Lepisosteus oculatus: one gene and its partners. The protein of the gene in region 3 purifies or fractionates together with the protein of the main gene of each other region. This does not show direct contact. Links are inferred from orthologs where the notes say so. Each region holds a gene or a part of one and is shown on either strand. Other genes may lie near its edges. The genes, in order: abi2b, cyfip2 and wasf2.

Region 1 (10,615 bases), on a different chromosome or scaffold from region 3:
AGTGTGCTTCGATACTAGTGTATCTTACATGCTGTACAAAATAAAGGAAGGAATCAAAAACAAACAAATACATACATCAATAAGACCAGAAAAGGTGTGCTGAGACATTTGAATGTCTACTCTGTTTCTTAATTGCAAAGCTTGGGATGGAGCTGGACCTTCCTAGCTTTTGCCTGGTGTTCCATTGAATCTCCTTCAGTTTCAGGCCAGAGATATTCCCAAAGGACTGTTACTGGTCGTCAGCATCTCTTTTTCCATATCATGCTTCAGTAAAATAACTCTTTCCTTTTGAGTCTGTTGTGGCAGCCTTACCCTGTGGGGTTTGAAAGGCATTGCTACGTTCCCGAGTTATGTGACCTATCTTTCAGCTCACTAGATTTTTCCTAGATCTCTTCATCATTCCTTCTCCTCCTCCTCCCTGGGCTCCTTGCCCCCTTCTCTCACTAAACCAGCTTTCTGTCTCTTCACAGCGATCTGTTCCAAGACCAGACTTTCTAATCACCTCCTATTCCTCCACAGATCCTGTCATTATAATATCACTCCTATAGGATTTAGTCTGAAATGTAACACCTTTTCCTTTGACTTCCAGAGTAACATTTTGACAATTTTCCAAGAAACAAATGTGACACCTGAAGAAGGTTCCCCAGCCAAAACCTCATGTCTCTTTTCTTTGCAGCATGGAATAAATCTTTACCTGTTCCTTTGCAGCCTACACATACTACCTGCTTGAACGTCTTCAATTAAAATTATATATTCATTTATGTTCTAGTTCTTCATGCACGTAAATACAGTATGTAAAGGTTGTAGAACATGCTCTAGCAGAAGTCTATGAAGTGTAAACTGAGAAACAGTCTTGTTAGTTCTGTATTATAGTATTAGGCAAGGTGTAATCAGCTTTGTTTGACTTGAAGATGTTTGCACTGTTTTGTGGCTTTTCAGTTAAATAGCAGAAAAGATGCTGTACTGCCTTACCTTAAAGAATGTTGCCTTCAAGCCACTGAGCAAAGATCTTTTGAAAATGGCATGAAATTTTTCAAGATATCATTGCCAACTGCCATGTTTATTGCAGTGTCTTTAAAAGTGCAATATACTGTAGTAAATACTTCCTGATGCATGTTTCTGCACACATTTATAGAAACATTTTCTGGGAACATTGTGAAAGAGCTCAAGTTTGGTTTTCATACATGTTTCACAAATGAAAGAAATCTACTTCACTTCGCTTAAGTGCTGCAAGGGAAACTGTACAACAGTTAAATGAACAACTGATTCGATCTCCATTCTAGAGGCACAGAGAGTGAGTGTCACCTCCTTTTTTTGGAATGATGTATGATAACTCCCTTCTTCCGGTGTGAAATGGATGGAACAATAAGCACCGAATGTCAGCGAATGCTGATAAATAAGTTGTGAATTTGCTTCCAGTTGGAGAAGGAAATCTTTTTTAAAAGGTCGACCATTGTGGCTTGTGCTGTGTTTATAAAATAAAAATGTCCTGTCCGTACACACAATAAAAACATATAACTGTTACAGCAGCCCAAACCAACTTACATGTGAGAATGACTCAGAAATGGTAAAAATAAGGAAATGATTCCTACTATGTGGTGGGCTTCATCCTCCTCTGTGCTCCAAATGAGGGTTAATGCCATCACATTGAAATGGTGCTTTGTCATTCCATTTGCTTGTCACATTTTTTATTCATTACAGACCACATAGCAATGACTAACAATGTGTCAGCAGGGAAACGGCATCTGTTTACTCCACCAACACTACCAAGCGCTTCCCAGGTAAACTTGAAGTGACAAGCTTTCAGCCTTTTTATCAATATGAATGAAATATTTAACTATGTGACACATGAAGATTGTTTTCCAGTCATTTCATGGTCCAGCAACAAATTCCCCATAGTCTTCAAGGATAATTAGCACATAGTTACCATATTCTCTTAGTAAGTGTTCTGCCAATAATTCTTTCTTGGTTACCCTCAGATGTTTGATTTTTCTATTACTTTTTCAGGCAAATTAAATCCGCAAAACATTTTTTTTTCAGATCTCTCCAATAAAATGGATACTGAGAAGCTTGGTAAATTTTGAATTAGTGTGTCAAATGGACAGATGCAGTAGCTAATTGAGAAAAAGAGATGATACAGTATATGTGTAGAATTGTCCCCCAGGCACAGAGCCGTGAAAATCTACTGACTGTGTATACCTCTCCTTACCTTATCTATGAACTCAGCAACATCAAAGCAGTTCTCTCTCAACAAACAACTGTGCGATGAAATGAAATGTACCTCTTGGCAGTATCCGTTAGGGTGCTGGAACACTACATTCTGATTGTAGAGAATTAATGGAGCAGAAAAAAAGATGGTGTCACTGGAAAAAATAAAACTGCATCTTCATGTGTGTGCTTTAGGTGATAGTTTGATGCATTTGTGAAAGCTAAGAAAAACACTAAAACAGAAATAAAATGCTGTTGCTAATGGGAGAGTTTGACACATGAGGTCTCCACTACTACCATATGATTAGTTTATAATTATGTTATAATTATTTTACTACTAATATTATTATTAGTTTAGACTGATAAACGTGGTTTAACTCAGATAACCAGACATTGCTTGTTAAGTATTCACTCATTTTACACTGGGACACCCCATTTACATCTCATTTATTAATACCCCTGTACTTCTGTAGTACCACAAGAAGTCTCATGGTTGCCTCAGGAAGGTGTACAGGAAAGAACTATTTGCCATTTGTGTGCTGTGAAAACTCACACGTGTGAATGCTCACATGACACTGGGAGACCCTAAGCTTCTCCATTTGTGCATCAAACCAAGGACATCCAACCAAAGAGGCATTCAGCCAGTGTGCACAGCTGTTTGGGATCAGCCTAGGAACAGTGGTGCACACTGTCTCTATGTCTATGCATCACTCTGGTCCAAAGAGACAGCATTGTCTGGTAAGTGTTGTAGCAGACCCTAATGCCAGTATTAATTAATCTCTAATTAAAATGCAAACAAAAATGCAATGTTGAATAATTAAAATTAACTTTAAAGCAGAACTTTAGGTCCAAATATCACTGTAGCTGAGAGAATGCTCATTTTACAAACAGATGGGCTTGGGGAGGAAGTCTTTTGTTTCTGTGAGTTAACCCAGGATCCTTCGATACAGACAAGCTGTCCCTGTAGCTACTCCTGGAGCTACCCATTGCCCCAGGAAAAACCACCAGTGTAAAATGAAGCAGTAAATGCCACTTAATTAAAATTTAATCCATACAGCACTGCATATTAATTTAATGTTAAATGAGACATTCATGCCTTCAAATAATATTTAACTAAAACCAATAGTCATTTTAATAAGAGAGTGTAAACAATGACAAATGTGACCATATACAGTATAAAAAAGTGATTACATGTCTGAGTTTCTTTATATTCTACTAAGAGTCAGCTTAGGGCCAAGTGTTAACAAAATTCACTTTTCCTGACAAATGCATGTTGTGTCTTTTATGTTAGTTGTTTATGTTGTAGTGAAAGGAATAAAGCACGATTTAACATTTATTTTCTGGAATGTCCAGAGAAGAGCATCCAGGTGGATTAACAGACTTGGCACTGGCTAAAGCAATGAGTTTTTTGTTTGAATGTTTGAACAGAGAATAATGTGCCTGATCCTGGTCCCAGTTTTCACAATCCTCAAAAGAAGTGACAAACTCAACCCACTGGACTTGTGAAACATAAATCGGAGGACCCAGCACAAGTTAAAACTCTGTGGGAGTGCATTGAAAACTGACAAAAAGAGGCTGTTCTTTGCACAAAGGGCTGTTGGAGTATGGAACGAGCAAATGTAAGTGTGAGTTCACAGCAATCCTTTATTTTTCAGATGCGAAGGCCAGGTTTATTAACCATGTTAAGTTGCTGAGACAGAGTCAGTGATTCCGAAATGTGTTCTTGGTAGGTTCATTGGAAACTGACTGGAGCAAGGTAGTTAAAAGCAGCTTGCTAATTATTAAAGAATTAACTAATTTAACACTGTCTCATCAATTTATAGGCCATAAGCCAATTGGAAAGAATACATTTTTAGAAGAGAGGCCTGAGAGTCCCTTATTTTTATATTTTGATGACCATACAGCAGTTCTTGTACCTAAAGAGACATAGGCTAAATGTCCCTTTGTCTGATTAAAATAAGACCTTTTTTATTTGCAGAGGAAAAGTGTCTCTTTAGCTCTGGGCTGCAAAAATGCAGTTTTCCTTGTCCAGGTTTTTAAAGTGAAAACCAAAAAAGCAATTCAGTTGCACACTCCCTCCATGACTTTAGCTTATATTTACTCCCTTTTTATGTTCTTTTGTCTTATTCGAAACTACATTTTTTTTGCAGACAGGAGGAATGCTACAGATGAGATGCGGAATCTGATTAGATGCCACACGAAAACCTGCCTGTCTACATAATCAGAAGAGTGAGCTGGTGTCCTGTATTACTTTAAATAAAATTGAGAAAAGTAAAACAGAAATAAGTCATTTTAAGCTAAACTTTAAGCTTCTTCAAACCAACCTTGAAGTCGAATGCAAGCTTATTCTCCATAATAGTAAGGCAGAAAAGTTCTGAGACATTTTCCTAAGAAAACAGCAGAGTCGGAGAATGTTTGTTAGACATGAATCTGGACACAACTGAAATGGCCTCAAATTTGATTTGTCTAAAACTGTATTTAGCAGTCAGCAAAAGGGAATATGGCATTTGGTTCTCAGCAATGAAGACTTGACTGTAAACTAATTCTGCCAAATTACCTGAAGAACAGTTTGAGCATTTCTATTTTTTTGCAATCCAAAGACAACAGATGAAACTCCACAATTTTCCAGCAACAGTTCATACCTGAAAAAAAAAACGGATTATTTTTTTTAATTGTTTGCAGAAGATCATATTTCTGATTTTCCACAACGGCTGTTTCTGTGATGCTACGTGTAAATCGAAATAGTACCTCTGTACTTTTTTCACTGTGCTTAAACCAAAAATTGCCGGGTATACAGATTTTCTTATACAGTTTATTCGGTTTTAAATTCTGATATTATAGTTTATAGTGTAAGTAAAGCCACAGAAAGAATGTAGCATGAAGGGCTTAAAACTGTGAGGAAAGTACGAATGGATGTCAACAAAAGAAGCAGCTCCCTCTACTGGTCCTCCAGCATTATTAGGCAATGATTATCAAAATACTCAACCGTGCTCATATAATAATAATAATAATTGCTTACACTTATATAGCGCTTTTCTGGACACTCCACTCAAAGCGCTTTACAGGTAATGGGGACTCCCCTCGACCACCACCATTCATAGACCTACCTGTATCATCTTAGTAAACGTTTCCATCAATGTATCACCAATTAGTTTTAATAAAGCAACTAAACTAGGAGAAATGTATCAGCTTTTCTAGCACTATTCTATTTTCACCTTAACCTTTGATTTGCATCAACAAAAAGGCTGATAGTGTAACGAAAGGAGTCAAGCCTCTCCAAGCAACACACACCTTTCATTTTCTCAGCCAGCTTCAACACAATAAATTGTTCTGAGGTGTGTGAGTGCTTAAATCCTGTGTTAAACATGCCAGGACATGCTTATTTGGAAAAGGCATTGACTCAAGGTGTGACTCATGTTGCTCTAGATAACCCCTATGACATTAAAGATTAATTGGTGCACAGTAATGACAGCATACAACATACTGTGCTATCTCTTGCACAAGTGGCTGAATGAAAGATGGGAAAGAAACATTCATCTCTTAAAACTACCAAAACGCATCTTCATCAATGAAACCAGAATTTAAAGGATAAGGTCCACATTTTGACCTCCAAATACTATGACCCCTTATTCATATTGCCTTAGGCTGCCGGTAATCATGGCTTCTCGTTCTCTTTAGTTTTGTAAGTTATTTCTAATGAAGAAGGGGAAGATACAATACTAGGAACAGTTATTGATAACTGGGTCTACAACAGGCAATTTTTTTTACAACATCCCACAAAAGATTGGACTAGCTGATAAAGCCAGATTAGGCTTCAATGTGCATCTACAGTATGCTACTGCAGGGCCACACATTCTCAGTTAAAACCATAAATGAATGATAAAAATGATGTACGTACAACTGTTGCCATCTTTCAACAGCCAAGGCTTTGAATTGCAATGAACAAATGCAAAGTTATTCAAAAGCTTCTGCGAATATAACGCTGGAACGGGGTATGATAATATGTTTCGTTCCAGTTTCCTCCAAACAGTTATAAACCTCTAAGAAATGTGAAGATAAATGACACAAAATCATTGAGTACAACGGTGATTGTGATTTGTGTGTCTCTATTAGGATGGGTAGCAAAAACACCACTTTTTATTAGCGTCTTAAAACCTCTGTGGATGCAAACCTATTTATATTTCACGTCATTTAACAGGTGACAGCACACACTTAAGTGTCAAACTTCCTGACATCGTTCTCCTCGCTCCCTCCCAAAAAACCTTCTCCAGTTGAGTAACTACACCTTTCCCACATCGGAGGAGAGGAAGTTGTATGCCTCCCTGCTTCCTGTGTTGCCAGCGCTTCAGTGTGTTAAAGATGTAAAGATGGCGGAGCTACAGATGCTTTTGGAAGAAGAAATTCCGGCAGGACGGAGAGCTTTGCTCGATAGTTACACCAACCTCGAAAGAGTCGCAGATTACTGCGAAAACAACTACATACAGGTAAGTTGGAGTGGGTTTTCGGTAAACGGGCTGGCGTTGAGAGGCGAGCGACCTGTCTCGGGTTGGAAAAGGCTGTGGAAAACGAGAGGAGGGATATTGCTGATGCTCTCATGTTGTGCTCCCCTTTGCGATGTTTTGCTCAAGTCCAGATTACAGCTCTTTCCTTTGCTGCAGAGGTTTTTGGACCCATTCGGTGTGTTTGCATTGACATATGTTCAGTTTCCAGGAATGCGGGTGTAGTTTGAGGAATGTAGTGCTTGTGGTGAAGACGTGTGGTAAGTGTGTATGGATGCGTACGGTGGGGGTTGAACATTTGAAACGGACTGGGAATGATTCAGTAAGTTGTAACACGATAAAGTAAAAACTGATATAAATCAGAACGTTAAATATCTAGATTCGTATAGATTTTGGAGGAAAAAAAACTCCCCTATTAGGAAGCATATGCCAGATGCAGGGATATACAGGGAGCGTCAGTATCAGCGTAAACCTGTAAAAATGTCTCTTTAAATAGTTTTTTTAAAGTTCAAATTGAAATCAATAAAGATCAAAAAGTGCATAGCTACTGGAACATTTTTTTTTTCTGCCGAGTTATGTGTGCATGGCGGCACGGTGTTATTTAATAAACAGGTTTGTCATCTGTCAATCATGGCTTGCTTGATGCGGTGGTGTGTTATTTTCTAGGAGGGTGTCTTGGAATAAACTGCCAGCATGCAGGATGTAGAAGATCATACTATAGGTTTAAAGAGTGGCAGCCCCAGCCTTGCATTTCAAACGCACGCAGCACAGAAAAGAAATAACTTGGTTTCGCTGCATTTTGCAAAGAGATATCGCGTCCGTTTTGGTGGAACGGAGAGTTTAAAACAACCCAGTGCATCTGATCATGATTACAGTCCGGTGATTAATACATTGAAGCCGAAATCTGTGACTAGCCAGACCATTTTTGACCCCCCACTTGCGGGTGATGAGAAACAAATGGGGATTTTAGACGTTTATTTTGCTCCGGAGTTGATCATCTGTGCCTTTGAAGTTGCGATATTGTGATGTCGGCGACGCTTGCGAGCTGTTTCGAGTTGCGGTAGATGTATTTTTTAAAAATTTACTGTAGTAGTAGTAGCAGCAGCAGCAGCATCTTTAAAAAAATTGCCATCGATGAGGTCAGCTGCTACATAATCAAATACCTCTTGCCTCCTGGTGTTTGCCGCGATGGTCGCTAATTGAAAACTATAAATATAAATCAACCGAGGGTTCACTTTTCGGTGACCTGAACGCACTAGAATAAAACGTTCTCAGCCCGAATCAAGTATTTATGCCAACTGTATTTATGTTACATTGTTTTTTATTTCTGTCGAATTAAGGGGTTGACCTCTCTGACACAAAATGCCCTCGGGGTCTTGCTCGACAGCATTACACAAATTCGTCGGATTTTAGAAAAGCTAATCTGATGTCTTTTTGAAGAACATTTTAATGTGATTGCTGGTGAGCTAAGCATATTAATCGGGTCCCGGCTGTGATTGGTTTTTAAGGTGACTGAGCAGTATCAATAATTTGTTTTCCCCCGGGAATATGGGTTGTGACGCAACGGCGTGTCAGAAAACCCACACGTATCGGTTGATATACAAAATACGTCTATTAAAAATATCAAGTATCGTATTTGATTGTGCATGCACAATCGCGCGTGCTAGATTTTTCTCGTTTTCTTTCAAGGGTTAATTTCCAACAGGAAGGATTTCAGATTGTGCATAAATGCATGAAGGGGTTATACGCTTTTCAGTTTTTACACATAAATGTGAATTGTAATGGTTATTCGACGAGGGACGCGGTTTCATTATCTTGATATTGAACACTTTGGGTTCTGTGTCTGTATTTACATGGTTATAGGCGAGTCTTGGCTCTAATGAACACAATTTAAAGTTAATTTGATAATAATCCACAATTTTACTCCTTTTTATCAGCCCCAGTTTCTAAACAGCAATATGACTTTCTCCCCTATGTTACTTAACTTTAACGTTAAAATACCACTCCAGTAATGTGTGTGGTTAATTAAGGTAAATGGACGCTTTAACATCATTGTTTGGGTAGACGGGAAATTTTAAAAGGCAGTTTGCCACAAAGCCCCCATGATTTCGCTTTAGTTCTTGCGTTTCGTTTGTGATTTTGTTGCTGGAGACAGGACCCTCAAAATTGTCATTTTTCCCTGAAACCAAAGAGGGACTGGTTCAAAACTCATAGCTGCCTTTACCCATGGCTGAGTGCTTTATCTGGATGCAAGGGTACAAAGCAATGTCCACAGCTTAATCTCCTGTGTCTTGAACCTCCTTCTCTGCCATCCTGAAAATAGCCCATTTGAACTTTTTTTTGTCCCTTTCTCCTCAAGGGACTTGTGTTATCAAGGAATGTGGAAGCTATTCCGAAGGTTGATTCCCGATTTGCACCGGAGTCAGAAGTGCTGAAGGGTCTGTCGTGGGCAACGTTGAATTAAGCGCTCGTGAGAGAATGTGATCTTAAAACAGTTGGTCCCGTGTGCCATAATTTACAGCGATTTGTGTTTTGTAATAAAGGGAGGATGTGTTTCTTTTCTCAGCATTGTAGCGGGGGTTTGTGTAATGTTGGGCAAAAGACAAAAATATGTAGACACAAAGCATCCCATTATGGTATTTATATACAGATTGTAGATGTGGCATGTATATAATTTTCCTTGTGAGGTAAGCTTCGTAGGATGGAACATCTGTCTGTTTCAGTTTCTTTAGTCTCTGTGGGGAAATTGCTGGGAAGGTTGGACATGACACAGGCTGTGCACATGAATGTTCATGAGTCAGGAGTCTGCCGTGTAGGAACATGGAGCTCGGAGGTGACCCTTTTTTCCCCGAGACAGGGCCGTCATTTTCAAATTGAGTATAACTCTGAAAACAATTACAAAGAAAATACCGACTCGAAATTCATTTTAAGGACTGCTGAAAAGAGGAGCTGCTGACATTGCTTGTGAGAAAGCCTTGGTTTTCATCTGGAGGCATTTTGCGTGTGGCATCTTGGTGTGTGGTGTGTAAATATCAGTAATTAATAGATAGCTTCATTAAACATTTGCCTTTCTCTGGGTTCTTAAATTCAGTGTTACAGTGGCTTTGTTTTTCAGGATCTGCATCAACACTTCTCTGTTTCATGAATTGAAGAAATGCCAGACTTAGGACAGTTGGTGCTGCATTAATACCCTAACGTAGGGTCCACTTACAGTCCTTTCTGGCTGAAATTCCTATTTCCTGGGTTTAAAGGTAGTTAAATATCTATAATCTATATGTGGCAAATAATGGAAATCACAACCCCGTATTCAGCTTCATCAGCTTTGGCAGTTATTTTTTTGTAGAGCGTGCAGACTTCTTACCTTGCCTTAAGATGTCCATAACTGGTTAATACTTTCCAATATCCACACTTTCAAGTTAAGGGTTTATTACCTATCAAGAGAAATACAGCTGAATATTGGGGGTGAAAATAATTCTCTTTTGTTCATTGAAAAGACATCTCACCACACATGGTGTTTCTTGGCAAGAACACTGAAACAAATGTAACATGGTCTCTGAGATTTTTTGAGGGAGGTTGTAGTACTGATAGAGGAGTATAGGATGTATGTTTTTTAGTATTTGTCTAACACTGATAAATTAGCCAAAGCTTAGAGTCATCTCTTACCGTCAGCATAGGGCTTACTTAAATTTGGAGACGGGACCTATCGGTAGTCATGTTTTGATTTGCATTAAGAGGCACACACGGTTCTGTTTAATATTCCGCGTACCTCACACATGTACCCTGGTCTTGAAGATCACAATCTCTAGCTGTTGGTTTTGTGCAAAGAATTATTTCAAAGAGAGACACCTGTGTGAAATCCAATTTTGCTTTAGTTGGCGCTGTCTTTTTTTTTTAAACGAGAAAATTCC
Region 2 (11,658 bases), about 22 Mb from region 3:
ACATTCAACTTGCAGCTGTAAAAGGAACAGCAATGAAGTCAACTCATTCAGATTCCTTACACCCTATTTGTTGAGACGTGTGAAACTTGTCGTCACAGGAGTCGTGAAATAATTGTTACAATTTTGATAAAACTTAACAACTGACTTACTACTACAATCCACCATCACACAGGATAGAAATAGCGCTAAAACAAACCTCAGTGCTATGCCACTGTACTTCTTGGATTTTCAGTAATACACGTCACTGTTGTCAGTTGAGGTACAGTAGGAATGTGAGCCTTTATTCAGAGTGATACAATAGTTATTCTTTTTCTGGTTGGCTGCACAGAAGATACTGAAAAAAACTATTTCCTTTTTGAATATTGATAGAATTATGCTACAGTTATGCACTGCCTCACAGGAAATAAACTGTAGCCTTTTTATCAGCATAACACAATTTTCTCAAGCCCTGAACACATGGACATTTTTAGTACATTACCTCCAAATGGGTATATACTCTATATGTGAAAGGGAGTTAAAGTTCATACCTGAACCTCATCTGACCAGACCTCAGCCACTCAGAGGTACAGCAGCATCTCCAGTGGTGAGTTGAACACACAATGTGTCAGTTACGAGTCCAAAAGCTTACCCTCTGCACTGTGCCACCCCCAACATAAAGCAGTTTCCAGTACATGGTTTGCTCTTCTTAACTTTACTTGCAAACTCTGTAACTGCAAACACTAAAGCACATACATTTGCTCATGCCACAGGCAGTCAAAAAAACATTTCACCAAACGAGTTTAGATAACTGAGCACCTGGCTAAGAGCCTCACAGTATTGCTGAGAATAACATTAATAACACCTGTAACAGCAAAATCTTTGTCATCCTACAACATGGATTGCCCAGTTCAAAAATGTAGATAAATGCAAGGGAACACCCAGTATAAAAGCGCAACAGCCATCTATATCAGCAGCTTGAGAGCTGAACAGATAAAAATGTAGTAATTATATTGATCCTCCTAGGTGTGTATCTACTGAAAACTCAGATGAATGACTAACAAAGACTGCTGAGACTGGAAACACTAACAGAGCTAGAAGACTTAAGCTGGCTCACTGAAGAAAGAAAAGTTTTCATCCACACTTACAGTATAATCCAGTACTTTCACAGAACCAGACAAAACCGTACAAAAGAAGAGAACTCCCGAGTAGCTCAAACAGTAAAGCTTCTTGTTTAAGAGTGTAGATGTTGGTGGTTCAGCGATGGACCATGTGATTACCTAGTGAAGGTAGCCAGCAAAGGTATCAGCGTACAACAGCTTCTAGCTGTCAGGCATCTATACTAAAAAAGAAGTGTGGAAAGCCAATTTAGTCACTGATTGACCTAGTACAGTAAATCCTAACTCCCTCTGTCGATTTAGACTGCCTAGATTTAAGTGCAAATGTTCTTTCATTCTTTCATTTTAGATTTTTCATTCCCACAACTACGAACCTGCTCAATTCACACAAAGCAATGGATTGTTACGTTTTATTTCCATCATGTTTGTATCTTACTGAGGTACGGTATCTATTTCACTCACAGATTGTCCAATGTTTTATGTACCTATTTTGGACAGTGAGGATTGCTTCTATTTTTTAATCTTATGGCGTGTATGTTTTTAATTTGTTAATGGACTCATGTTGTTTTAAAAGTACTATGTATTGTGATTGCCTTTTTTATCTGCCTACAGTGCAAATCTCCCATCTGGGTTTATAAAGTAAGTATCCAGGAGATGTGTTGCTCCTCAAATCCGCACTAACTCCTATAAGACACTATAGTATAGTTTCCCAACAGTGGCAAGACCTGAACTTGGCAAAGGGTTTGAAGAGTTCTCAGTCCTTCCAAAGAAAATTTAGGGGACAGAAATCCCACTTGGCTTAGAAAGCCAACAATCTCTGAGCTAAACGCACTTTAGGTTTAATTGAATGTTGCCCTTAATTTGGTCTGAAATGTCATACTTTGCAGACAACTTTTATCTTGTTTATACTGGACGCTAATAAAGCTTTAATTCTCCCTCAAACACTGAGAACTCACCTTATCTGTTTGTTCTCATGTCAAAAGTAAAGACATGGGCATGTGATACTCACACCTGAAACAAAAGTGCTCTCAACCTTTAGAAACTGCAGATTAACTTGTTGGTTATAAACCCGGCTGGACTGAGGCTCTCCACGCCCAGGGTTAGACATACACACTCTACAGTTTGCGTTCTGTTGCAAATAGAAGCAAAAACCATGATACCTCTAAGTCCTAAGCAGAGGTTTGTCAGATTTCTCTTGTGTGCATGCGAGAACACATTCAAACGAGGAACTGATGTAAGAGGATGGTATCTGTTCCCAGGACTGCTGAATTACCTGGGTCTACAAACAATAACTTGTGATTATGCCAAAATAAAACACATCAGTTGTGTTCTAGAGCTGTCTGTAAATTTGGGGTCCTGCTTATTTAAGTGTTATATCACTGCTGGATAGTCCCGTGCTTTATTGCCAAGTCTCCTTGATAGTTTAACTAGGCAATGATTGTGATGGGAAATAATTTCCCCCTTGGTTCCTGTTCCCCGGTTCCCTGGGATACATTCTTAATGAGACACACATGAACACCACATACAGTACATACAATAGGAAAAGAACAATGGTATGACTTCAGAACCATTGCATCAAGCAGTTCCTGTCAAGCTTTGCACCAAGTTAGCAGGTACAGTAGGAAGTTACAGACTTCGAAGTTGCATTTTGGTAGTTCATACTGTACATACAACAAGGATCTGACTTGTGACCAAAACAGTTCAGGAGAAATGTTCCTGGCCACAAAACAGCAAACTTTCCACACAATGGCAGAAGTAAAACACCATTTAGGAGAAGGTGTAAGTCAATTTGATGCAACAAAGAAAGCTTTTAAAAAGCTTATCTTAAAGCACTTATCATTTTTACAACAGACTATGTAATGCTTTCTATGATATATTATAAGGTGTAATAGAGCCCTACCACTGTCTAACACATTTTTCCTTAACAAGTTTTTTTAAAATTAATTCTATACAAATGTAACTCATCTAAATGTTTGCATCATTTTTTTTAATTTTATAAACAAATTTTTAGCAAAGAGTTTCTGCTGTCATAAAAATGATAAAAAACGTTTTTTTTTTCTTTGAAGTCATTGCGTACCGGATTACCAAGCTCCTGGTTACAACATATTTGGATTTGGTTGTGCAAATGGCTGAATGACAACATAACATTTTCACTCAGTTATACGTTATTTAATGTACGTGCCCAAGGTTTGATATTATGCATTATTCAGGTCTAGACTAGGGATCGTGTAGCTACAGTACTTGAATTACTGAGAACAGGGCGTCACGTAGCGTTTGAGGAGATACAAAGTATTTCTTAATGTTCAGGCAGAGTGACTGCAACAGAAACAAATCAACCAGTTGAAACCAGGTAATAATAGAAAATGAGAGACCATGCTTCATGAATATTATTATTCTTAATTTGCATATTTGCTCTAGTTTTTCGATTGCAGAAAAAAATAACTATACGAGGCCTGGCTATTGCAAGCTGCCTGCATGACACCACAGAGATCCTATCAGAACCGCGACATCCAGCTCTGGGTATTCAGGTGGATTTAAAGAGACACGTCGTGTAAAGCGACACAAAATTAAAAATAAAATAAAGCCCAGGTCCATCACTTCAAAATGTATTGAAAACAATAACAGACACCAAATTTGAGTGAATGCAGGTTTAAACTGTAGATAAGGATCGCGACATGAATATAGAGATGTTATGTATTTTTCATCATTTAGAAAAAAAACCCATAATCTATATTTTTCTGAAAACCCGTCATTCGTGAAAAGTAATGCACACATCCGATATCAAGTAAGACATACAGGAATTACAATACCGAGTAGCACACATAGACACAGTTCACCCCACCCAATTAAAAAATACTCGAATGGTAGCTGAGGCTTATGCATTATCACGTTCGAGAGAAAAATCTTCTAGAATACCTAAAGGATAGTAAGGAAAAAATATTTATACTTATCCATAGATTTAGTCACCTGCAAAAAATGTCCACAATTTTTTCTCATATATTACAATTATCTAAATAGCAAAGCCTGTGGTAGCATACAGCATCATGTAACTGCACTAAACCCATTGGCAGGTCTGTGCCATCTCTCTCATCGCGTTTGAACAATATTGATGATAAAGAATTAAATCTTACCTGATGCTCGCATGACCCTTTTTGGCGATGCTGACGGAACGGTTCGCATTTACGCCTCAGACCTGTGTTTTAAAGTGGTGATGTCTCAGTGATGCTCTTGCCTGGCAGAATGCTCATCCGCTAATCCCCGAAACACAAAGAGCAGAAAATGGCTGCAAATGTGTTTCCTTAAAGCTACATGACAGTCAACACAGCAGCAGTCACATCACTGCTCGGCTCCGAAGCGGTTCGCGTTAGCTATATTTAGTGGATGAATGTGCAGGTTGGAAGAGTATTTTTTTTTCATTTAATGTTCTCAGTCCAGTTGTTGATGCATTTAATCTGCCCTTCCCCTCAACATAGAAAGCTCGCGTTATTTTATAAACTGTAGCTATATACAAATTAATATTAATATTGTAGCCGTATGCGTTACAATATCAATCAGCAAGCCAATTCATGGTAACTGAACCATAACCCAGACTGAAATCTGCATTGAGTTTATTCCAACGGCAGCACTTGAATGATAAAACCATCAAATTGTGCAAATGACACTGATGTGTACATAATTTACAGAAGTTATTCCTCTTTCACTTGGAAGCGGGGTTTCAAACCATACAGTATAATACTGCATGATGGAGACTATTTCGGTTATTACATGGCCAAAAAAAATTAAACCAGTTTTTTTTTTTTTGTATCGAGCATATTCATGTCAGGGTTGTCCTGGAGTGTTGAACAAGAAACGTGCGAAGATAAAAAAAGAATAAAAAGTTCTTAGTTTAAAAGCATAACACGAAAAACAGAACAGTAGAAGATAAAAAACGAAACTTAAAGAGAACAACTGACTTCCATGTCTACTGGTCTTCGAAAACGGGTAAGTACTGTAACTGGTATCTGCAGAATGCAAATACTTGGGTTGAACAAACACAAAAAAGTACTAAACCGAACCTCTTATAAATACTGTAGCTCAACGATACCGTTCTAAGATGAACCCAGATTTGATATATAGAACATAAAGAAACCATGACAAGATCAATGTAATTCTAAGAGTTGAGTTTGTTTTAATTCTCATACTGAATTATGTATAGTAAAACCCTTAATTCAAAGAAACACACAAACCCCAATAATGGGAGTGTGGAACATTTATTGGTACGGCTAGGCTTAAACCTGCTTGAGACATCCACGTGGATAAATGTATGAGACCCGCTATATTATAAACCAGATGTTTTCTACATTGGCAGTGGCACTAGGAGGGATGGATACCAATAGGTGATATTGTGACAAACACTATGAAATAGTGACTTAAAGGCCTATTATACCTTACAGTCAGTGATCAGTGGAAAATGGAGTGTGTCCTGTACCATTGTTATGAACTTCAGATAACATTTATTTTCCTAAATATGGATATACAAGATGTGAAATTAACATTTTCCTTCCCCCATCCTTCCCTTATCTCGTGTGGCTGTCCTTGTGCAGGTGGGTCACAGTTAAATTGTAGTGTCTGAAATATATCAAGTCGGGTAAAAAAATAATTTCTAGACATGCCACAAATCAATCTCAGTATCCGTTAACAAAACACAGAGGAGAGTGGTGGTACACTGAGACACAAGTGTCTGTTGTGTTTATAGAAACCAGAAACTTTAAAGTGATTTCTCTCATAATCACTCCTTTTTGGCATATCAACCGTAACCATGGACAATATAACAATACAACACTATAAACAGAGGGTATAACAGAAGATATAAGCAATTTTTGAAAGCTGTCTCACTGAGCCTCACCCTTTTTGGTGCCCCGCCTAATGTAATGATACGTCAGGCAGGACACAGTGAGACATACTGTACCACCTCTGGGACATTAAAGCATCAGACATTTACAGGGAAATGTGAAGCAATGCTCAGATAAGAATAAAACTTTTCATACATGAACATGTATTTTGTCTCTGACCAAATCATGGTAAGTAGATTAGATATCTTGTTATTTAGGTCCACAGTTGTAAAAGAACAATTGTACTACACTAAGTTGATTTTATCGAAAGAATGGCGGTACTGCAATACTGATTAACTTGCGAAATCTTTAATATGTGATAATATGCAAGATGCTTTGGATAAAAATGTTATATACTGGAGCTGCAATTTATTCTTAGAACAATTATTGAAGTAGATCATCCTTGGTTATAGATTTAAGAGAATTATAATGTATTGATTTCAGGCACAATTATTTTAGTGGTTAATAATAGTGAGCATCCTTTGAATTGCATATAACAAAAACTAGCACAGGGTACAAACCTATACAACATGTGTGTCTCACTCTGCTCCTCTGAACTGTATCAACTATGACAAGCCCACCCACTGGGCCTATTATTTTTAAGTGAGGGAGAAAATAAGGTGAAAACATTTAGCTTTTTTAGAGGTAACTCTTAAGACACTTTAGGGTTTCCCTTTCTCACAAACCTTTGTTCTCTTTTGAACAGGACAGTGGAAAAAATATTAGGAATACAAAACTGCCTTATAAATCATGCCTCTTACCTAATTGCTTCCTTTAGTTCCAAAACAAGAAGTTTGGAAGGGCCACTGCAGTTCTACTCTCTAAATGTAAAGACTGGAATATTTTTTAGTGTTTGCGTTTCTCCAGATCTCATTGTGCCCCATCTTCCATTGCACACAATGATTTACTGTTACTTATCTTATGGTGTTAACAGTTTAAAAAGAAACATTACCCATTATTACTGTTACAGTTGTGTTTTTTTAGTAACTGGACTTCACAGCAACTTCTGACACAAACACAAGGAGAAAAATGTAATACATTCCATTTTTTAATTGTTTACTTACAAAATCAAGGTACTTATAGACCAATAAGTAAAGATAACTACTAAAATGTAAAATATTAAAGTGTGTGTTATACTGTATTATCGTGTTCAAATAAGCTGCATGACTGGGTTGATATAGAAAAAATATTTCTTATTCTTTTTACAGATAAGGAGACAATTGAATGTTATACAGAAAGTAGTGCTTTCAGATAAATTAGAAGGAGCATTCAATACATGAAGAAGGTAATATACGGATTAAAAAAATAGGATTTTAAAATTGCACATAGCAACGAATGCAACTAAGCCATTGTTTCCTCCTTAATGGAATTAAAGTAATAAAAACAAAAACCTTTGAATACATTAACAAAGCTAACCTTTTTACACTCTTGGAATAGTTGTGAGAGCTAAAGAATCTCGCACAGACTGAACAATCACATTCACAAGAAAATCAATTACTGCCAATAGATGTCACTCTTTCATATGAACAGACAAATGCTCGCAACGCTAATGGTTAGCACAACAGGCAATTCAGATTTCCCCCCTCTGTTCCTCCTGCCTCCCAAAGGCCTGTTTAACTGGTGCTCTACATGGTCCTTCTGTGAGTCCCGATGGACTGGACTCCCATCTAGAGTGTAGTTCTGCCTTGTACGCTGTCTGTCTGTGTTAGGCTGCAGGTTACCGCAACCTTTACCTATACCAGAAATATGCAGATTTCTGATAGTATCTAAAAATAACTAAAAAAATAATGTAATAAAAATAATGGATGATCAATAGAGTGAGTGTAAGAGTGTCAGTGTGAGATTATCTGTCATCACAGCAGTGTGCCGTTGTAAAGGTTTGAGGGTCTATCAGTGTGTAAGCATCTGTACAAGTGTTAGTGTGACATTATCTGTCAGTGTACCACTTTGTAGCCTGATTAGAAGCTAGGCAATGATGGGACTGACCAACACAGGAATGGAAAATCCCCAGTCCTGCACCTCACACACCAGATAAATCCTTAACTGAACCAGTGACTGTCCTGGTTGTTACCGTTGTAACTATGTTTTCTGGACTGAAAGGTTTGATACCTTAAGTTCCATTTGAAACACAATCATTAAAAGGCAACCTCCTACATGTTTAACAATTCAAAACAACTAAAGAAGTCACATTTATACACCTATAATTTGGTCTGTTAAGGGGTTCAACTGATTGCTCAGCTGGAGCACTCAAATCAGCAGATGTGTGGATCTCCGGGACCAAGGCTGGGAGCTCCTACTCTGAGCAAAACGAACCTGCAGCTGTTGTAGGCTGTGGACCAGCAGGCCAGAGTAACCATCTGACTGAGAATTTAAACCTGGCTCTTAGCTTTATAGTTGTTAAAGCTGCACTGTTTGTAAGAGTAGGTGTTTATGGAAATCATAATTAACTATAGGAAAAATGTAATTAAAATACAAGATGTCAGGATTAAAATATTTCTCAGAACTGAATTTGTACAAGCAAGTAACAAAGATGTAAGGAAGGTTATAAACAATAGGGAGACATTCAGCCCATTTGATACCAAAAGTAGTTAATTATCAAACTACCAATTGTTAATTAGTAGTTAATTGATTGGGGATGTCATCCAGCCATTCCTTGAATGAAACCAGGATATTGGCCTAAACAACATGACTGGATAGCTTGTCATGATAGCCATAAAAAGTCCCATGGTCGATTCTGAAAAAGATTACTGTTAAATTATATTGTAAAGAACACAAATGCAGGATGGTATTTATTAAGCAACCATGTGACAATTTCTGTCAAGGAACAGGTAAAGGTTTAATCCATGCTGAAAAGAGAAGAAAAGAATCAACGTTTCGGCTGTGGACCTTCTTCAAATGAATCTTTACTTGTTCCTTTGCAGCCTACGCATGCTGACGCAGCTCCCCACCTGAACCATTTTTGTTAAGGCCTTGTCTAAGAGCCTTGTAGCTTTTCTGCTTTTGTATGCTACTGCAATGTAAATTTTGGTATCTGAAAAAGCAATAAATACAGTATAAATATATATATATTCTTTTCTTTATACAGTTTATGTCCATTTCATCTGGGCTTCCAACAGCTTAATTTCAGAAATCAGCAATTTCTGCCAGCTGATGGAAGAGAATTGCAAAAGATGGGCGGTCTTCTGGTTTCTAAGGAGAGAATTAAACAAAAACATGAAAAAAAAATGTTTAAAAAGTTTGCATCAGGAGAACTTCTTCTATCCCAACAATAACAGTATAGGTAAAATGAAAAACTCTTTGTTGTGTTGTGAATCTTTTCTTTTTTCACAGCTTAGTCTCTGCACCACAAAATTGCTGATTTTATTTGCTCGAAAAAGAAAACTATCCAGCTTTGTTGCGTCAGTTGCCATAACTAGTGGTGTGAAAGTAACTCTCCCTTGATTCATGTGCGCTCTAAGCCTTGATGCAGAGGTTTGAAATTAAAACAAACATATGAAAACGTATTATTAAAGCAGAATTTAGGTATACTGTATAAGCATATGTGTGTTAGATTTGATTTTCAGTTCATTTACTTGGCTCCTTGTTGCACTGACCTCTTTCCAGCTCCACTCCATCAGCTGATAAATGTCCTCTGAAGCGAGTCTGGGTTTAAGAAGTCGGAGGCCAGATGAAATTGAAGCTACTACCTCTCCGTTTGACTGGTTCTCGTATGGCATCTTGCCCTCACTGTACACCTCCCACATGAGGACCCCTGCAGCAACGCAAAGCCGACGAGACCCTTTAATTCTTTACATTCTTACTGACTTTACAAAAAGACGGACAAGCGCATCATACAGTACATTTCTGCACGCCAGAGAGCTTCAAGCCTTAGCCTTCATTGTGAGTTTGAAGTCATTTGCTGTGGCAACATTAACAGCCTCACTAATAACAGAGGTGAAGAAAGAGTATATATCTGAGTTTATATACATCTTGAAAACTTACAGTTAGTTAAGGCTTTTCTCAACTTCCGTGTGAAGCCCACACTGAGACACATGTCGTATTTTCAGGAACCATCATTTCTGCCTGACTTTCTACGCAATGAAACCCTCTCTTCACATGTGGCGTTAAGTCTAATGCATTCTGATATTGATTGCATACTCTCTTACTTTATCTTCCCAGGGCTTACTGCTGTCAGCAGCCACATTCTGACATACTTTTGTATTTTATTGACATATCACAAATAAGAGGAGGCTATCTGACCTACTGTATCAACCTCATGTGACTGTGTTTACCAGTAACCTCATATCCAGTAACGTACTGTACTGCGAGGAAACTGCTGAATTCCCCTTCGAATCCTTGCCTAAACTAGATAAATGTGACTAAGTAGCTAATCAAACCTAATACATTTGTCACCGGGAGCAGGGAAGAAACCGGAGCACCCAGAAAAATCCCCCCCAATCACAGGAAGAGCAGAATATAGGCGCCTTAAATTGAAATTGAACCCAGGACCCTAAAACTGTGAGACAGGAAACACTCCACACCATACCACTTTTCACTTCATAGCATTATTTTATTCATTAGAACAAACTCATCCAGTGGCTGTCCTGTGTATGTCAGGTGGTGCTATACAATGCTATACCAGGTCACCACATGAAGAATAACTATCTCACTCCGCTTCATTACTTACCAAAGGACCACACGTCTGATTTGCTGCTGAATTTGCAGTATTGGATTACCTCAGGGGCTGACCACTTCACTGGAAACTTAGAGCCATAGGAACTGGTGTACTGGTCATCCAGGACAAACCTAGGAGAAAAAAAAATCTTAAGCTATACACTGCAAAGATTCCATTTCAGAAATACTTTAACACCATATGTCACATACTAGTGCTGAAAAAAACGGGAACCTCAATCAGTCATTGTACAAAAGCATTTCATTGTACTGCAATTTTCTTTAGGTATACAGAACAAACAATTAAGATTTTAACTTACATAAACATATCAGGGCAGTGCAAAACCTTCAACCTTTTGCATTATTCAATTGCTATTACATGATCTTTTTTGTTATATGAATAACAATCTGAATCTCAGACCTTGAACTGAAAAAAACTTCAAATTCATACCTTGCCATACCAAAGTCTGAGACTTTTACCACTTGATTCTCTCCAACCAAACAGTTTCTTGCAGCCTGAAAGAGAGAATATTACTGAATTCCACTAAGGTTCAGTTTTAAGCAGTGTTTATGTAGTTAGATAAAGCTTTGATATGTTTGTAAACTAAATCTAAAACAACATACAACAATTTTTGTTAGTGAAACAAGAAAAAAAAAGTTTGACACACAATTGTTAAATATAATCTATATGCTGAGTGCTTTGGTGTAGAGTGAGAAGCTTTCCAGTACCAGATCCCGGTGAATGAAATTGGCACTCTCTAGGTAGGCCATTCCATCACAAACATCCAGACACATTCCCAGCAGAGTATCCTGGGAAAAACTCCCCCGCTGATTCCTCAAGTAGTCGGATAGGCACCCGTACTCCATGAACTCAAACACTAAGCACATGGGAGCCGTCTGGGTAACCAGTCCATAGAGCTGAACCAACTTTGGATGAGACATTTTACTGTTCCAAAACAAAAAATCACAAAGAAAACATAATTCTTCTCATTTTTTAAAAGCATTAGGAAAACTGCTTTAGCTATTATTTACTGATCGGTTAA
Region 3 (10,778 bases):
TAGATCCCCCCTTCTCCTATATTAAGTAGATTGTTTGGAGCAACAGTTCAGTGACTGTGTTCTCTCCCTCCCAGCATGGACCAGAAGGATGAGGAGTTTGTGTCCAGCATGGCATCACTGGGCTGTGAGGTCCATCAGTTTGATCCAGGCAGAAAGTCCCGACAGACCCAGGAACGAGTACAGCACCACCAGATGTGGTTAGACTGGCGCAATCCCAGGACGGGGCACAGAAAGGCCACACCCAGGAAACTCAGTGCCATCATGCAGATGCTGGGCCACAGAATGGTATTAAAGCCTTTTCAGGGAAAAGAGAAAACCCTATGAACAAATCAATGAAGTGTCTTCAGCCAATCAGTTTTCAATTTGGGTGGTCAGATTTTGGCATAGACACCTGATGGAACATTGAACAGCTTAAATGTGAATGACATTTTACACCATTTCATACATATACCAGCTTTAGCCCTTTAACATTCTACTCTATAGAAGGAGGGCATGATGGGTCCACAATTATAACTTGTGTGGGATCCAGACAACCCTCAGAATTAATCGTGGTTTATTGATTCCAGCCTCCAAAAGCTTCCCAGTCAACCGCCAGTAATTGTACAGTTACAAGGGAACAAACAAAGGTTTATTCCAAGCTGAAAAGAGAAGAAAGTTTCTTTTCTTCTCTTTTCAGCATGGATTAAACTTTTACTTGTTCCTTTGCAGGCTACACATGCTGACGCAGCTGCCTACCGGAACTAATTGTACACTTACGTCTGGTAAATGTCCAGATGAATTATAATAAGGAAACATCTTAACATATGCAAATGAATACGTGTGTATTATACAGTCATAAAAAAAAACCCAAAACATTTTAATTAGTGGAACCTTACCAGAAAAAAAAAGACAAATTCACAGTAAATGTGCGTCTCTCAAAGAGCTCCACCTTGTGGCAGATGAACTGAGCTTCTGTTAGCACCCATGCTTTTGGCTCAGACCACGGAAGACCTGTAGTGGTATCCAACATCCAAGCAGAGGCTTCCCAGTAGCACTCTATCACTTACTTAAAAAACAAGTGAATTAGCTGTTCAGATTGTTTCAAGTGATGGACATCAATACTGCAGTTGTGCAACTGTACATATAGTATTTACAGTAGTTCAGGTGGGTAGTTGTGTCAGCACGCGTAGGCTGCAAAGGAACAAGGAATAGGTTTATTCCATGCTAAAAAGAGAAGAAAGAAAACAACGTTTCGGCCGTGGAGCCTTCTTCAGGTGACACGACTGAAACGTTGTGTTTTCTTTCTTCTCTTTTCAGCATGGAATAAACCTATTACTTGTTCCTTTATAGTATTTACAGTTTGTTATGTCTGAATGTTGCTTTTGCAAGGCATTCATAAGTGGACAGGATATTACGCGCCAGCCCGTGAAAGTTTCTCCGTGTGTCTGTAGAAAACTGGTTCAGTTCATGTCAGCAGCTTTTATGTGTCGTGCTTCATCTACGCAACACAGGTCAAAAAGAATATGCCCGATAAGTGTGCTGTGTATCAGCACAGAAATTCATCAGCTCCTTTCGCCCTTCCTGATGTTCAAAAGTCTCCCACCTGCTCTGCGCAAGGCCGCAAGCAGAGCACTCTCTCTGTAAGAATATCCCAGCATGAATGTTTTGTGTGGGATTTTAGGGCTCAGGGAGGTTATGGTCTTCACATCCTGCTCCCTGGGGCGAACAGAGACTCTGCATTTGTAAAGAAAGCCCAGGCTGGTGCAAAGACAGAATTCTGGCATTGCAGCAGAGAGACACTGTGTCTCCTAGAGGGTGCTGTTGTAGTGCAGTCTTCTTCAGCAACTTGTTGTGTATACCTGGAGACTAAGTGGAAGGTCAACCACTTTGTCATTGCTGTCCGAAAATATATATGTTCATCCTATTTTTCACATGTTTATTTCCTATCCACATGTGTGCTCTTTCCATCTCTTGCATCACATTCCTACGCTCTCTCTCTCTTTTCGGATCAGGTGGAGATTGTCCAAGCGGACCTGGAGAGCGCCGAGTGGAGGATTGTGGAGAGCTGGGTTCTGGATGGCACCCTCACGCAGATCCAGCAGCTGGTTCTGACAGTGCACTTACAGTGGGCCGGGTTTGAGGTGGGGGGCAGCGACGCAGAGGTTGTGCGGTTCTGGTACAGCCTGATGAAGGAGCTGCACACAAGCGGGTATCGCCTGCTGCACAGTGCCAGGGGGCCTGGCCAGGCCATACTGCACCATGCGCTGCCCAATGCCAGCAGCAGCTACATGCTGAGCTGGGTCAACACGAGGTGGAGCTATTAAGCACACGTTGTTCTCCAGCGCAGTGCTTCCTAATCCTGGTCTGGCAGGAACAGTGTCTTTGGAGTTTTCCTTCAAACAAGTTCTTACTCACAGGCTTTTTGGTTTAATTTAAAGTTATACTTGAGAAATGCAAAATGCATGTTTAGGGGCTGAAAAACAGCCAGAAACTTTGAATTAATCCTATTAGGAAGTCAAATAAAGGTTTGATTGCATGATTGCAAGAGCTTGCCTGGTGTTGGGCCACTGGGACCAGGACTGGGAACCCCTGCCATAGGCCTCTATGTGCTTTGGATAGATTTTGGGACATGTGATTTAACATGTAGATCAAGGGCTGCACCTCCGTCAAAATGCACATTGTCTCTCCAGAATGGTGAAGAGGCAACACTGACTGGAGTCAGTGCTGAGTGGATCAGTGAACCTTAATTTTGATTCGTGATTAATTAGCATATGATCAACAGCCACTTTTACATAATGGCAAAGAAAGAACCACAAAATAAACAATTAAAGTATTTAAATAAGAAATGCTACAACAACTAAAAGAACAATCAAAATCAATACTTTATTTTTACACATTATTTCAAATGGTTTTTAAAACAATTTACATACAGTCTATAAAAACGCTACAAATATTTGCACACAGGCATTTTCATTGCTTTATCACAACCATATCACAGTTCTATACTGCAGAATAGAAAACAATCTAAACATTTAGTGACTACCTACTGCTTATCTATTTTGTCATTGTACCAAAATCTGGTATTGCACTGTGAGAATAAAGGAACATACAAGGGTATATACTTATATGTTTTGCACAAGCTGGTGACCCCTGATTCAAAGTTTTAAGTGTTTAAGACCGGAAGTGAAACTGTTTCAAATTAGGAACTGTGAAGTAAATCGAAGGATACAGTCTCCTGTGTCATGTTTTAATAAAACTACTGGAAATATTGTAAAAGGGTACTATGGAGAAATATGGCTATATCCCATTCAAGCTGTTTTAATTTTCATATTTACATTTGGTGACAAGCACTCATGACGAGTGAAGGCGCTAAAGGCAATAGAAAGTTGACAACGTGGACACTAAGAATTTGTTCTGCTTCCAGGTTGTTCTCACTTCCGACCAGTGTATCCTAAACCTTAATATTGTGATATTTAGACAATGTAAAGCTTTGTTGCTTAAGTAATGTAATTGGAGATGTGTAATCTAGATGCCCTCTACTGGTAATAGATTAAAAAGGAAATGGGACTTGTTTTCTGGTACTGTAAACTCGGACAGGAATCCCCTGCTTAATGGAAGACATCGCTTGCCGTCGGGAAAAAAAAGCTCTAATTTTTTAAAACTTTGTGCGTTGTTGTTGTTTTTTTGTTGTTGTTGTTCTTTTCTGTCTTTGGCACCTTTTGTGTAAGTTTTTTTGTATATTACTTGGGAAATAAAAAAAAAACATGATTATAAAGTCTTAGCAAGATGTCCGTTCAGGGTTCAGTCTGCTGTCGCTTTAGTTTTTCTGAGGTTCCTCATGTTCGCCGAAGTCGACGTGGACGTGGGAGTCTTCCTCGGGGAAGGACCGCGAGGGAATAAAAATGTCCATGATCGCTGAAGCCTCTGAGGAGGAATAAACACTCATAAAGGAAACACGACAACGAGGAGGGAACACCCTAGCCTGCGAGCAGGGAGCACACAAACACACAACCCTTACGCGTTGCAGCACAGAGAAGCAAGCACAGTGTGAGACGTACAGTACTGTAGGAAGACACAAATCCCAAGCTAAACTAGAAACATAGGATTGATACAAACTTGTCTGCAAAAGCGTTACATTGTCTTCAAGCCTTTCGACCAGTGACACTCACTCCTGCGCCCAGGGGGCTGCAGTCACCCAGGTAATTACAGGTAACGCAAAATCATCAATGACTCAAGTCCTGGAAACAGTGAGAATGCGGAGCAATTTAGAGAAGAACTGATTCACATAAAATAATCTGAAGTCCAGAGTGGAATGACCTTTATCTTTTAAAACAATATTGTTCTGTGATTGAATTAGGGATTGATAAAATGACATTGTATAACATCCGAGTTCTTGTTTCATGCATTCTTGACACAGTAGACAAACTGTTCTGTAACAGTTTATTTTTTTGTTATTAATGTAAGTAGGATTTTTTGTTTACTAATTCTTGGACCATGAAACATCAGGTTTATTCCTCATATTATACAGCAGTACCATGTAATGGACTATGTGCACGAAAACCTCTTTTCAAGAACACACAATAAGGCCCTCCCAAATTAAACACGTCATCACGTGATTGATGGGTACAATTATTAAACAAAAAGCTGAATTAAAGATTCTTCTTAACATTTTTAAAAACGTTATAATATTGGGCAGGATAGCCAGTCAGTAAATCGCTGTTGTTCGTGAACAGCTGCAAAAGAGCACGGAGACAAGTAATGCTGATTTTAAAAGACGGTCTATCAGCCAAGACCGATTAAGTCACGTTTGCATTTGATTACAGTGATGCAAATATTACGTGACATCATTATAACACACTACGCAGGCATATACTGTAGGTTTCCGTGTCCCCGACGGGCACTCCCTCAGAAGTCGTTCATTGCGTCAGACCGGGCTGAGGAATGCACAACGCCTCCTCAGAAATACAGAACTCAGAGAAAACGCGATACAGGGCAACGATCTCCTCCCATTCAATGCTATTAACGCACGTCTTCGTGAACTGACCCCCAAAAAGCTAAATTACATGGACGCTTCAGTCCATCATTATCTTCCCCCGAATCCTCTTCGATCGAAGCCGGTAAAACCCTACAGATGTTTACTCCTCTCTCGGGTGGAGTTACGCATTTTACGTCCAAGTTTTCATGGTCCTCCTTGAACTGAAACTGACGTGAGTGAGAGCGAATCAATTCCCAGTATCCTCGCCGCGGTCCAATCACAAGTATGCGTAGGCGGGGCCTTGGCGTAGTTCTGCTTAATCGGTTTTACAGTTGAAGCAGCTATCAAATCTAGACATTTTCTTTTTAGGAAAACTTCAAGCGAGTTGAGATGATGGCTGGTAAAAGCCTTATGTGAGAGCAGAAAGGATCGTTTTCTCGGACCCTCTTTTCCTTTACGGTATGAGTGCTACGTTTTTAAATACTTTCTGGTATGGGGGAGTTATGAGTAAAAAGACAATGTTGCTTCGTGTCTGCAACATTGTGTCGGTAGTCTACTGTAGTTGCTTGAGTTTAATTATGGGTGGTTTCACTTTACTTCCTGCTAAATTGGGAGCCATGAAGTTGACAAGAAACCCTTCGAAAAAGTGTTTTTAGTGATCCGCGGGACGAAGAAAGACAATTCAGTGATGTGGAAAGAAAATAAAGTTGTTAAAATCCGGGATTACGTAGATCGTATGAAGTATCACTGACGATAAAACCACACATTTAATTTTCGCAGCTCACTGCGGCATCGAACTGCCTTATAAAAATGCGATTTACTTGCAGCGATTCGTTTTACTGATTGAGTTGAATGTTCTTTACGATATGTGAAACGTAAAAGAAAACTTTTCTGAAAGAAACGGTGTCTGAACTTTGAATGAGGCAATGGTTCAAAAAAGGAAACCGTGATAGGCCTTGATAACTATCCTGGAAGTGTTTAATAAGTAGACTTCACTTTAGTGGATACCTACGAAGCCCACTGTAGTGCGAGGTACAGGTGATTTATCCGTTACCTATGCACTATATTGTCATTAGGAATAATAATTTTATTTGTATTTTTTTTATTCGCTTTGAAATTTTTGGATACATCCCCCTTTACCTGACGAAGATAAATCCCAACACAGAAAATAGTCCGTTATAACGACCAAATTAGAAATTGATAAGTACTGCCTGGTAAACACAATTTGTGTTTTGCTCCGTTGAAGATTACAAAGCCTACTACAGTACTGGAGACTAATGGTTGATTACTCGAAAGGGGAAGGTTTATGAACAATTTCAATAGACATTGGCGTAAAACTCGTAATTCATGTGGGTTTTCTGAGAGTGAGGATAATCATTGTTCTTGTACACTCCGGGCCAGGGTTTAATAGTGATTAGAAACACAATAATCGAAAAGAAGACCGAAAAGCTAGCCTGACAATACCATGTGCTATTTAAGTAAGCGGATGAGTTGTTTTGACTTGCTGTGAAAAAGGATTAAATGCTTTTAAGACTAAACTATCCAGAACCCAAGCAGGGAAAGCTGCAATAATAACTAATACAAATTCTGAAGTGTTTTTGACAAGTAATTATAGATGTGATGTCTTACTGCTTTTACTACTGCAGAGGTCTCCAGTCCCATCCCTGTAATGCTGAAGCATCCTGTGGTTGTCACTCCTTCCCAGCTGTCACGATAATAAACCAATTGTTGGTGCAATTAGTCAATGCAAGTGTGATATTTACTTGCTAAATGTGGACTCCTGTAAACACATACTGGATTTCTCACAGGGGGGTTCTTTCAACCAAATATTTCTGGGACCCCCTAGCAGGAACGCTGAAACTCTGAGCAACCCTGCAGAGGATCCCCAGAAATCGAAGGAACTTTTCAATCCAAGCAGTGCCTAAAAATCAAAACTCTTCAGCACAGTACAGTGTTTGTCCACCGTCAACATATATCTGTGGATCTGCAGATCTATTTATTTTTATATAATGAATACCGGCCCTGGGCAGCCTGTTGCTGCTGTGGCCAGTATTGCCATGGGGCCCTGGGTTCGGGCCCTGGGGTGCTGTCCGTGTGAGTTTGTAGGTCCTCCGTGTCTTGGTGTGGGTATCCTCACACAGTCCAGAGACATGGTGTTTGGTCACCTGGCTCCTGGGAACAGTGGCTCTGGTAGGAGTGTGTGCATGTCTGTTTGGGGCTGTGTGTTCCCCGGGATGGACTGATGTCCCGTTCAGAGTGCGCCCTGCCTTGTGTCCGCTGCTTGTTGGGATAGGCACTCGCTCTCCCCTCGTGACCCTGAATTGCATGCAGCAATCAGAAAATAGCTAGTAGGACAATATTGGCATTATAATAAAATTGACACCTCCCATTCATTTTGTGTTTAGATATGCCAACATTTTCTTGAAAAGAGGTTATTGTGCACAGAGCCCATTGTGGGGTACTCCTATAGGATGTTACCTCTGAATAAAACTGTAGTAACATGGTTTATAGTTTATTATAGAACTAACTTTTCTATTTTTAAAATTTGTTGCTAAATGGTTAATCTTTTTTTATGTGCATGAAATGTCGATTCTTTGAATTTCTGTCCTGAAAATGGGTATGTGTATTAGAATAGATTGGCTGTGAAATGCAAGTGGCAGCTGTAGGCAGCCATCCTATGCTCATCTATGCAGCTTTATAATAATTTGGATAATTACAAGTTAAGGTCTGCTGTGGTGTTAGTGGGTTTTAGTAAAGATAGGTAAATATTTGCCGGCCCTAGTGATAGAAACACCAGTGACTAATCTGATCGACCTCGGGGAGCCACTAGACCAGCTTGAGCAGGATGTGACTTGTATTCCACCAGGTTTTGAAATTCTTGCAGCCCAGTCCTTTCCCATTCTTCCAGCAGGATTGCCTTGTCTTGAAGTGTGGGGCTGAACTGCACCTTTTCACAGGCTCCACCGGTTTTCAGCAAGACTGTGAGAAGGTGAACAAAGTCTGTCTTAATCTCCTCAAGCCAGCCAGGCAAATGCCTGAGACGAGCTCTTTCATTTGCCGGTAGATGGTACCTGATAGCATGAATCAATATGTTAATGTGGTACCCCACCTGATGTCACATATTTCTGTCTTTCCTAGTTTGTGTTTAGGAAGTTTCAATTTTAGGGTCCCAGCTAGGATGGCAAATGTTTAGCAGCTGGTTCTTCTCTGATTTCATTTTGGAAATGGCAGCATGTGTACATGGCTGATCTCCCACATTGTTTTCATTTTCCAGTTTTATATACAGTCTACAGGCCTCAGCATAGGCAGATTCCAGATGAGGAAATCTTTATAATATTCATCCACCAGTATTAGAAGCCTCTTATTCCTGTTGAGGGTCCTGTGATAACCTGGAGCCAGTCTTGAACGAATAGGTCAAAAGGCAGGACCATACCAAAGGCAGGAATCCAGTCCATCACAAGGCACACGCGTCCATGTCCAAGCACAAGGGTACAATTCGGAGATCCCAGTTAACCTCACTAATACAGTATGTCTTTGGAAGATTGGGTGCTCTGGTTTCTACCTAAGACTAACCCATGTGGTCACAGGGTGAGCATGCAAACGTCACAATAATGACATCCCAGTCTAGCCAGGACCCAAGAGCCATGAAGCAGCTGTGCTTACTGCCACCCTCAATAATAATATCAGCTTAAAATATTAATTGTACTGACGCTAGTTTCTATGGTTTTAAAGTGAGAATGTGCATACATTTGTTTTCCGTTAGATATAAATATCATCTTGTCTTTGCAAGCTACAAGAGGGGTTTAAGGCAGGAAAGGCTCTAGTTTTATCCCACTTTTGTTACCAAATACAAAATTGCACCTGAAGTCATTAAGTTGGACACTGATACTGTATATACAAAGACATATGCAGCACATTGAAATGCGTAGCATACCCTGTATCTTTAGAGCGGTTTACATGAGTATTGTCACCCCTTATTTGAACTCTGTTGTAACGTGAAAGGGTGAAGTAGTGTTCAACTTTGAAAATGCACCATTGATTAAATTATTATAATGTGTTTAATAAGAAATGTATTCATTCAGATGGTAGTTTCAAAGAGCCATTGCCTCTCTCTGTAAAAGAGTGTACAGTATGTGCATGCAGCACTGGAGTAAAATGCGAGGCCCGTGCCTTTAAAAATCCTTTTTTTTTTTTTAGACGTTCCAGTTGCTTGTTTTTTTTACCATTTGCTGGCCTGGGGCAGCTGGAGCTGCAGTGCTGGCAGAAAGGCTGCAGAAGGAGTTATGGCGGCGCTAGGGTTGAACAGCTGCCTTCACAAGTGTGAGCAGAATCAGAGTGACTCAGTGTGACAGAGTCTGCAACGTGTGGGGAACTGGTGAACGCGTCCCTATTTGACTCACTCCGTCACACGCCCACCTGATGACCAGCCCACAGCACGAGTGCCTCCTGACGAGGCGCCTGTTGGGCAAATCAGTTAGGCGCACTTCACAGATAATTATAGTGCAGGCCTGATGTATGTTTCCACATGATGGAGATATTTTCTCATTTTTCCATTTCCTTGTGAGCAAGACATTTATTACAAAAGTAACAGAATATATTTAAGTATTCACCAGAATAATAAACATCTTTTACAGAGCTACACATAATGAGTCTTTGGAATGGTTTTAGTTTAGGAGGAGCTGAAGTGTATTTACGAGGAAGGATTTGTGAGTTGATATTCTTATATACCAGGATGTAGTAGTCAGGATTGTCCAGTCTTGGAACTAAATGGAAATTACTGTTAGAATGAAAATAAGATATGTAGCTGAGAAGGACAAAGAATTGAAACCTGTAAGCTTCAGAAAGAGAATTCCTTTATGTGCTGTACAGATTAATCAGGCCATTAAAATGGCCTCCATGTCACTTAGGCTGTCTCGGTAAACAAGGCTCCAAAGACAAGCAAGGCTAACAGCTTGTTCACACCTAAGCCGTGTAGAGCTGTGCACACTGATGTACCGCTGAGCTGACATGAAGCTGCAGTCATGCAGTCATGCTGTTTCTGTACCATCACCTTGGAAGGTGAGGGCTGTAGCCGTTTGGATGCTTTACATAAATGCACAGTTTATTCTGTGTAACTGAGTTAATTTTTAGTGATAGTTCAATGTCGAGATTGAGTGATCTACTGTACAACAACATTTCCTACCAGTTTAGATCCTTAAATTGTTTGTCTGAGTATTATAAATTGCTTATTTTCTTAATGATAAATTGTGTACACTATTTTCCCATGTGATCCTTGGTAAGTTTTATCATATGTTTAGCCCTGTTGCTTTGTTGCAGTTACTTTGAAAACGGCTTTTAAAGGAGTGCTTCAGGCTAATTTTCAGGAAGTGGAGAAGGGAAGTAAGAGTTTAAGTTCAGTTCTCGATAGTACATATGAAATGGGGGTTAATTTCTGGTCTTAAGTATCTTGCATGGAACTTTTAAAGGAACTGCATGTCTTAAGTACTATACAGTGGCTCTGAGGGGACCTGATACAAGTATTTTAAAAAACAAACCAGAATACTGTAGAAATTAAAAAGCATTTCTTTAGGGTTGTGGGGTCTGGAAGGAACTGCCCAACCAAGATGTTGAAATGGATTCCTTGGCATCCCTCAGGAAACAACACAGATAAGATCCTTGAATCAATAAGCTTACAAGCTACCTTGACAGAGATGGGCTGCAGAGCTCCCCCTTGTGACCTCTCGTATATCCTGACTCCGTTGGTCCCAACAATGTCTGCTGGACATGGGATTTGCATTCAACTGGACCCTTTGACGCCACTGCTAAATGGTTCCTGTAACTGATC

What was found.
Region 1: the proteins of wasf2 (region 3) and abi2b purify together in Homo sapiens (affinity purification with mass spectrometry; 3 studies listed by BioGRID and IntAct, counting the BioPlex papers as one, with this or other methods). This does not show direct contact. The link is inferred for Lepisosteus oculatus from reciprocal best matches to the Homo sapiens genes WASF2 and ABI2.
Region 2: the proteins of wasf2 (region 3) and cyfip2 purify together in Homo sapiens (co-immunoprecipitation; 3 studies listed by BioGRID and IntAct, with this or other methods). This does not show direct contact. The link is inferred for Lepisosteus oculatus from reciprocal best matches to the Homo sapiens genes WASF2 and CYFIP2.

The regions. Positions count from the first base shown.
Region 1 is NC_090707.1:35,003,068-35,013,682, forward strand, and holds the start of abi2b (abl interactor 2), read left to right. Parts: upstream 1-6,454; 5' UTR 6,455-6,575; coding exon 6,576-6,692; intron 6,693-6,794; exon of another isoform or gene 6,795-6,967; intron 6,968-10,615. UniProt on the Homo sapiens protein: Regulator of actin cytoskeleton dynamics underlying cell motility and adhesion. Functions as a component of the WAVE complex, which activates actin nucleating machinery Arp2/3 to drive lamellipodia formation.
Region 2 is NC_090706.1:30,452,865-30,464,522, reverse strand, and holds the start of cyfip2 (cytoplasmic FMR1-interacting protein 2), read right to left. Parts: upstream 4,152-11,658; 5' UTR 4,062-4,151; intron 1-4,061. Other genes in the region: itk (tyrosine-protein kinase ITK/TSK), read right to left, coding at 9,089-9,154, 9,559-9,716, 10,632-10,750, 11,067-11,131, 11,345-11,561. UniProt on the Homo sapiens protein: Involved in T-cell adhesion and p53/TP53-dependent induction of apoptosis. Does not bind RNA. As component of the WAVE1 complex, required for BDNF-NTRK2 endocytic trafficking and signaling from early endosomes.
Region 3 is NC_090706.1:8,897,426-8,908,203, forward strand, and holds the start of wasf2 (actin-binding protein WASF2), read left to right. Parts: upstream 1-5,253; 5' UTR 5,254-5,413; intron 5,414-10,778. Other genes in the region: probable methyltransferase-like protein 24, read left to right, coding at 75-285, 1,992-2,303. UniProt on the Homo sapiens protein: Downstream effector molecule involved in the transmission of signals from tyrosine kinase receptors and small GTPases to the actin cytoskeleton. Promotes formation of actin filaments. Part of the WAVE complex that regulates lamellipodia formation.